Linked DNA regions of Oryzias latipes. The protein of the gene in region 1 purifies or fractionates together with the protein of each later gene. This does not show direct contact. Links are inferred from orthologs where the notes say so. Each region holds a gene or a part of one and is shown on either strand. Other genes may lie near its edges. The genes, in order: dnajc17 and cdc5l.

Region 1 (3,826 bases):
ATACCCATATCGCAAAAGACAGCGAAAATTGCAAGAAATGGTTACCTTAAATGTGCTAAACCACATAAAGCATCAACATTTCTAAGTTTATTTCTGTTGTACAAACTCTAATATCATATCATAATATTGATAACAATCCTCTTTTGGTTGGAAAAGCTCCTTTTATGTAAATTTAAACATCCTTTATGAAATATTGGGATAAATTGAGCTTTTTTTCATTTGAAAAACCAACAGATTATCCATGTGAGCATTCGTTGACACTTTTGTCCTCTTATAGGAGCTGGCTTTAAGCAATGAAAGTGGCTTAAGTGGGAACCCCATAAAGATTTCATGGCTGGAAGGGAAACCCGAGCCAGTTGCTGAGGCGTCTCAATCGGGCCAGTTTCTGTCCTCACAGGTACTTTCTTGAACATGGTGACGCTTTACTGTCTTTCTCTTCCACCAAGCACATCAAATACCCCCATTCGCCTCCAAATTTGACCCACAGCAAGAGCTGTGCTATCTTTTGGTTTTTATTCTCACATCAGTTGTGAAAACATTGCTGCAGGGCTTGCAGTTGCCTCGTCAGGCCGTGCGCAGCAATCTTTGAGTAAGTGAACGTCAGTTTATTTGTTTTGGGGTCGGGAGGCACCGGGCTCGGCCCTGGCCCACAATCCCTTGTTGGCCGCTCATTAATGGAAATAACCTATGAGACCCCAGGAATTCTTCACTCTGCACAACAGCCCCAGAAGGCAGTTTGCAGTAATGGATGTCTGGCATGTGAGACTGACTAAATGTCTCAGCTGATGCCAAGTGGGTTTATACTTGTAATGCTAGTTATGAAAACTGCTGCTTTTACATTGTGATCTCATTCATCATATTGATTCTCGTGTTATAATATTTTGTTGTCAGGGTTTTTATTTCTGTTCTTTTGAGTCCGTTTTTGTTGTAATTCTTCTTTATCACAATTATCTATTGTGTCATTTAAAAAAAATCAATAATGAAATAATTTCCTTCCTAAAATATCTATATTACATGGCTGACACAGTGTTTTCCTGTCCAAGGACAAACTGATCTCAACGGGATCCACTGAGAATAGAGCAACTTTTCATGTTTAATAGGAAGTAGCATCCAGCTTTACCAAATTTATTTAGATTGTTTGGCTTTAAGGATGAGGATTGCACATGCAAGCAAGGGTTTTCACCCTTCAACTCGGTGTGTGGCGTCAGACCACCTGCCTGAGGTTAGAGCCTGACACTGAGTATGAGCACTGGGACTTGTCTTACGAATCCTTTTTAAATGTTGCTATAGTTACTTGGTTTCCTGGTGTTTTTCTTTAGTTAAACAAGAACAAAAACATTACTATGTTAGGGGAATTTTCAAACCAACTCAGAGGCGCCACACGATATTGTAGAAATTGCATGTGTCCATCTACAGCTGGCTTTGAATCAGTGGACGCTTGAGTCATTTCAGAAAGAAAAAGGTAATTAGACGCCATAGTTATCTTTTCTTGACTTTATCTTGGATCTGAATATCTGATCCCTCCCTGGTGCCTCAGCGTTAGCCAGCGAAAGCGCGTTCGAGCTTAGTGTTTGTGGTTCTGCTTCTTCAGCTTTGGTGACAAAGTGAGTCTAGAGAACTTAGAGACACAGATGAGCTCAACTTTCTTTTCTTTTTAGCTTGATACACACATTTTGAGCTAAGGGATATACTTAATGTGGGGGAGAGATGTGACAAAACTCACTTAGGATTCCAGAGTACTTAGAAGTGTAAATATTTGCATACAGAGCCTATTATTAAAAGTTATTTCTTTAATTTTTTTTCTATTTTTTCAGAAAGCAGAGGACATATCGATCTATGTCAGTATTTTTACTTATTCAGTTAAAGAGTCATGCTAGTTGGGAGTATCTGCATAAACAATAAAGAATTTTATTAGACACGAGTCCTCCAGAAAATCCGATATGCATTAATATTATTGGAACAATAGTTTTTCCTAATATTCATTTTATTATTGTTTTCCTGTTTCTCTTTATTTCCTTCTTAATTATATCATCTTCCGCCATTTTTGGACTTAACTCTTTCTACAATTTTCCGCTATTTTAACCATTCAACTATTAAAATGTTCAGCTTTTTCCAGCTATGACTTGTGGTCCTTCAAATCATTGAACTTTTCAAGATATTCCAGGATTTCCAGGATTTTTGCCTCCATTGAAATACATGGGGAATTCCTTTGAAAACTTTTGCCTCGCAGAAGCTCGTTGGTTCGATACCTGGCGATCGCATTGTTTTTTTTTTTTTACAGAAGTATCTTTTTTGTTTTTGTGTTGTTTTCACTTTATTTATGGTCAGCTTTGATTATTTCTCTCTATTTTTTTGTGTGCCAAGTATTGCCCTTTACGTTTCATTTTTATTCAGCAGTATAGCATTCAACCCTGCATTTTCTTCTGGAAATGCAGCCTCTTCTAGTTTTATTTGCAGTTCAGTTCTTACCTCTCTGACGTTTTTCTAAACCCAATCAAACCCTTTTGGGGAGACCGGGTTGCTGGAGCCTATCCACCGGCTGTTTGGCAAAGGCGGGTACACCCTTGGTGGTTCACCAGTCCCAGTCGCAGGGCCACACACTCTCACATTCACACCTAGTGAGAATTTAGATTCACCAGTTGACCTAAAATACATTTTTCTCGACTGTGGAAATAGTCAGAGTGCCTCCAGAACATGCAAGCTCCACACAAAAAAGGTGCCTGCCGGGTTTTGAACCAGGATCATCCTGCTGTGAGGGGAATGCTTACTACTATACCACCGTGCAGCCCTCAGGTCCTATCAATTCTTAATATTTTTTTAAAATAAATTCTAATTTCGCTATTAATCACATTTTTCAGTAAAGAAACCAACAGCTAAAATTGATGTATGAAATTGGTTCATTTCAAATAAAAGTGGCCTTTGTGCCTTCAGAAAATCAGTAAAGGTCGCAAAAATGGATGAAAGTAAAATCTCTTCCAGGATCTGTGTATAACTGTCTCTGAAAGCCTGACAAACTGTGGATTCCACAGTTTGTGACGGAACCCTCAGACTCTCATAAACGTGGATCCATAGCCTGACAGTCTGCTATGTCCCTGCCAGACTTGAAGTCATGGCTTCCAGAAAGATGATGCCATCATAAATCAGTGGCTTCATGGTTTACTGTGCAGTTTACCATCAATTATTTAAAGGAAATCTAATGCAATGGAATTAAGTCAGTGCATGTCTCTTCCTTCCAGAGTCATTGCAGCATTGTTACAACACGAACCAGATGCAAGACGGACATTTTTGAGTTGTTTTTTTCCACTGGTTTACTGGGGCTTGAAAGGTTCTTCCATTGAAAGGATTCTTTGTATGGAAGCATTAAGGCCATGTGATGCTATAGATGCAATCACATCAAGCCGGGTAAGGTTTTTTTTTGGGAGCAGCCGCTTCAACAGCTTTTGGTCTTTTATATGCTTTTGACTATAAAGAAGATTTTTTTTCTGTTGTTAGAGTTATTTCAAACTTGTACTGCTGGTACCATATTTTATTTATGAATTCTTGGACAGTATTAAGCCTGGTATTAGAATATGTTTATTATGCAGTTTAGGATAAATATAGTGTAATCTAAAAAATCTGTGAGTTTTAACATGGATTTAGTTTTTTTAAAACTTTTGTTACCCTTTTTTTTTTTTAGGAATTTGAATGTTGGCTAACATAAAAAATTTGACAAAACAGATGTTTAGAAACCATCTTTATATAGCAATTTTTCTGTTCCTTTTCCACATATCCAAAAGTTATCAAGCTTTCAAAGTTCACTTGCACATTTTCTCCTTGTGCTGGCACC
Region 2 (3,683 bases), on another chromosome or scaffold:
AGAGGAAGAAGAAGCGAGGAGTGGACTACAATGCTGAAATCCCGTTTGAAAAGAAGCCCGCTCCGGTACTGTCAGATGAGCTCCAGCTCCCATCAACAACCCATGAACCCACAACAGCAGAGCACAACCTGAAGCTGTGTGCTTGATGTGTTTGAAGGGTTTCTATGACACCAGCATGGAAAATTACGAAGCGCTGGAGCCCAACTTCAAACGGCTGCGACAGCAGCACCTGGATGGAGAACTACGCAAGTCAGTCCCACCTGCACGGTTTGATGCACTGCAAGGCATGAGCCAAAAACACTCAACCTGTGCTGTTTTGATGCAGTGAGCGTGAAGAGAGGGACCGGAAGAAAGACAAACAGAAAATAAAGAAGAAGAAGGAGAGCGACCTGCCATCTGCCATCCTTCAGACCAGCGGCGTGGCAGAGTTCACCAAGAAACGCTCCAAGCTAGTGCTACCTGCACCTCAGGTACCACACTGACCTGCTCACACACACACACACACACACAGACACACACCCTGACTAGACTCCCCTCTTGTAGATCAGTGATGCTGAGCTGGAGGAAGTGGTCAAACTGGGTGTGGCCAGTGAAGTGGCACGCCAGGCTGCCGAGGAGAGTGAAAGTGGAAACTCCGCCTCCTCCGCCCTTTTGTCAGAGTACAACATCACAAACAACATGGCTGCCGGACTGCGGACCCCTCGCACCCCTGCGGCTCAGGACAGGATAATGCAGGTATCTGAAGAAGGCAGAGGTTTTGCCTTGTTTGTGTCATAATCTGAGGTGATTTCTGTTTGATTTGGGGGTGGGGGTTCTGGATGTTCTCTGGTTCTGAAGAACCAGGCCCAGATATGCTGCATTTAGCTTCTTAATGATTGGACTGATTGCTCTGTGGAACAGTGGCTTTCTCTGTTGAAATGTTTATGCAGGGTTCTCTTTGGCGTGGCTCCTCCCACTATCGTCATGGCGTTGGGTTGTGTTTGCATTTCTCAGTTTGCTTTCATGACAACACGGTACAAACAGCAGGGGGAGCATTGACACCACAAAACCCCCTCTGTGGGGGTTATCCTGTGCCAGAGGTGCAATCTTTAACTTGCTGGTGGCTCCCGTCTGTGAGATGAGTCAAAGTCAGCTTATTGGTCAATATGCTGCACACACGTGATAAACAGCACAGAGGAGATTTCTTTCTCTCAGCCCACAGTGAGAGCAGCCTATAAAAATAACAATAAGGATAAAAACAGCAAGTTCATCTTTCCCGGTTTACCTCGTTCTTTTAGAGCGATCATGCTGCTTTCTTTAAACAGCGCACCCCGTTCTGTGTCCTGATTGGCTGGAGACCCTGTCAATCAATCTCCTCCGTGCCGTGTCTCCTGAACAGAAACGCAGAGCTCTTCAGATCAGAAATCTGTGATCGATCAGATCATTGTTTTCCTTTATAAGATCCTGGATCTAATTTCTATGAAGGTTTGAGAAATTAAACAAAAGACAAGGTGAAAATGTTCATGTCTGTCTGAGAAAAGTGTGTTTATGCAGTGGGGAGTTTTACTGCCATAAATCATAAACGTCTATAATCATTCTCTGTGGATTTCATAGATCACGGTTTTTTATTATTTATATTTTTAGAATGTAACTCCTGCAATAAATGAGGATTACTGGATGAGAAACAGACGTGCAGGACACAGCTGCTCAGCTTTAGCACAAACTGTGAGACGTGAGGAGCTGCAGCCTCAAAGTCTTTATTAGAATAATGACGGGAGAAGATCCACTATTTATTGTTGTTTTTGTGTTTTTTTTAAGATCAGTTATTTATTTTGTTAAAAGGATCATGAATGAATGAAACTTTATTCATTCAGCACTTTATAACTCCTTGAAGGTACCAAAGAGCTTCACAAAAAAAAAGGTCTAAAATGGGAACAAAAGTTTTAAACTAAAAACTGTAGAATATTCTGCTTTAGAATATCATTTTCCTTTCAAATTATTTCATCTACATTCCATGTTATTTCATTCTCACTCCACACATCTGCTCCTGGTCCGGCCCTTCTATTGAATTTTAGAACCCAATGTGGCCCCCCAGTTAAAATAATTGCCCCCCCCCCCCCCCCCCACACACACACACACACTTGCTGCAGTGACGGTATATTAGGTTAGTATCTATAAAAATTGTCTAAGTATACCTAAAATTGTATTTTTTAACATTAACAAAAGAAAACAGCAATGTAAATCCATTTTCAACAAATATTATATTTCTTTAGCCACAGAAACTCTGTTAGTCTAAAACAGAAAAGAAGCTTAAAGAGCCTGAAATAAAAAATCTGTCAGTTATTATTTAAACTAGAAACATTTTGATCAACTGAACCATTTGATGCTGAGAAAAAGAATTCAATCAATAATATTAAATGTAAATTGATCTGAAACATTAACACAGCAGCACCAATAGATTTAATGTTTTTAGTCTGAGGAAATAGATAAAAACATTGTTCTGATTTTATTTCTAAATGATGGATAATTTATGATCTGTGACGCTGTTTTCCTGCATTACCTGCTGTCTGCATGTCAAATACTGACACCAACTAAACAACAGGCAGACAAAGAAAACATTGATGGAAAATAAAAACACGTCATCATAATGTCTACAATAGTTCATAAAGAATGACATTATTAGCATGAGCTAAAGGCACGTGATGATCCTTGTGTTGGGCAATAGAGGCAGCTCTCTGTGTGCTGTGTTCCACTTGCAGCCTGAGCCCACTACCCCTCCCCTCTCCTTCTCACACACGCGTGTGACAGGAGACATGAGCAGCTGCAGGGACGGCAGTTCACAGTTTCAGGCTGTTACAAACTCTGATAGAACAGATCAGGAAACCAACAGTGACACAGATTTTTTTTTCAAGCACTGAGCTGCTGTCACCACCGCCCCCCGTTAAATTTGCGCCCCGGACAATTGCCCATATTACCTGTGCCTAAAACCACTACTACTGCGCGCCCCCCCTGGCACCTTAAGAAGCACTGTGTTAGAGTAACAAGCAACCATATGTTGTCTATGCAACTGTAATTGTCCCTTTAAAAAGTAATAATAAATCAATGAATAAATGAGTTATTTAACATTGAGGAGTAGTTACATTTATTTTTCATTACATTTAGTTACATGTAGAAGTTATATCGGGCCCTTTGAGGACAACCACTATGCTGATGTGGCCCTCAGTGAAAATGAGTCGGACACCCCTGGTTTAAAGTGACAACAGTGCTAAGAAACAGACTGAAGTGTCTCTGGGATGGAGGTGAGGGGTCACCTTCAATCCTGATGGCTTTGCGGGTGGTAAATGTCCGAGAGGCCGGTGAGGGGGACACCGAGGATCTTCTCAGCTGTTCCCACGATGTGCTGCAGGGACTTCCGGCAGCCAACAGCGATGCTGTTGGTGATGAACCTGTCTGTACCACAGAGCCGTGTGAAACACATGTTCCTAAATCTGCCTTAGGAAGCCCAGAACCTGATGGCTCTGACCAACATTGACACCCCTCTGAAGGGGGGGCTCAACACGCCTCTGCACGAAAGCGACTTCAGCGGAGTGACGCCCCAGCGGCAGCAGATCCAGACGCCCAACACGGTCCTCAGCACGCCGTTCAGGTAACACGGGGTCAGCTGCACACCCTGTTCAAAATGCAGGATCGGCTTTTGTGTGGGA

Evidence for each region.
Region 2: the proteins of dnajc17 (region 1) and cdc5l purify together in Homo sapiens (affinity purification with mass spectrometry; 3 studies listed by BioGRID and IntAct, with this or other methods). This does not show direct contact. The link is inferred for Oryzias latipes from reciprocal best matches to the Homo sapiens genes DNAJC17 and CDC5L.

Annotation. Positions count from the first base shown.
Region 1 is NC_019880.2:14,608,570-14,612,395, reverse strand, and holds part of dnajc17 (dnaJ homolog subfamily C member 17), read left to right. Parts: intron 1-277; coding exon 278-397; intron 398-3,826. UniProt on the Homo sapiens protein: May negatively affect PAX8-induced thyroglobulin/TG transcription.
Region 2 is NC_019873.2:1,350,847-1,354,529, reverse strand, and holds part of cdc5l (cell division cycle 5-like protein), read left to right. Parts: coding exon 1-65; intron 66-157; coding exon 158-249; intron 250-325; coding exon 326-470; intron 471-543; coding exon 544-735; intron 736-3,476; coding exon 3,477-3,625; intron 3,626-3,683.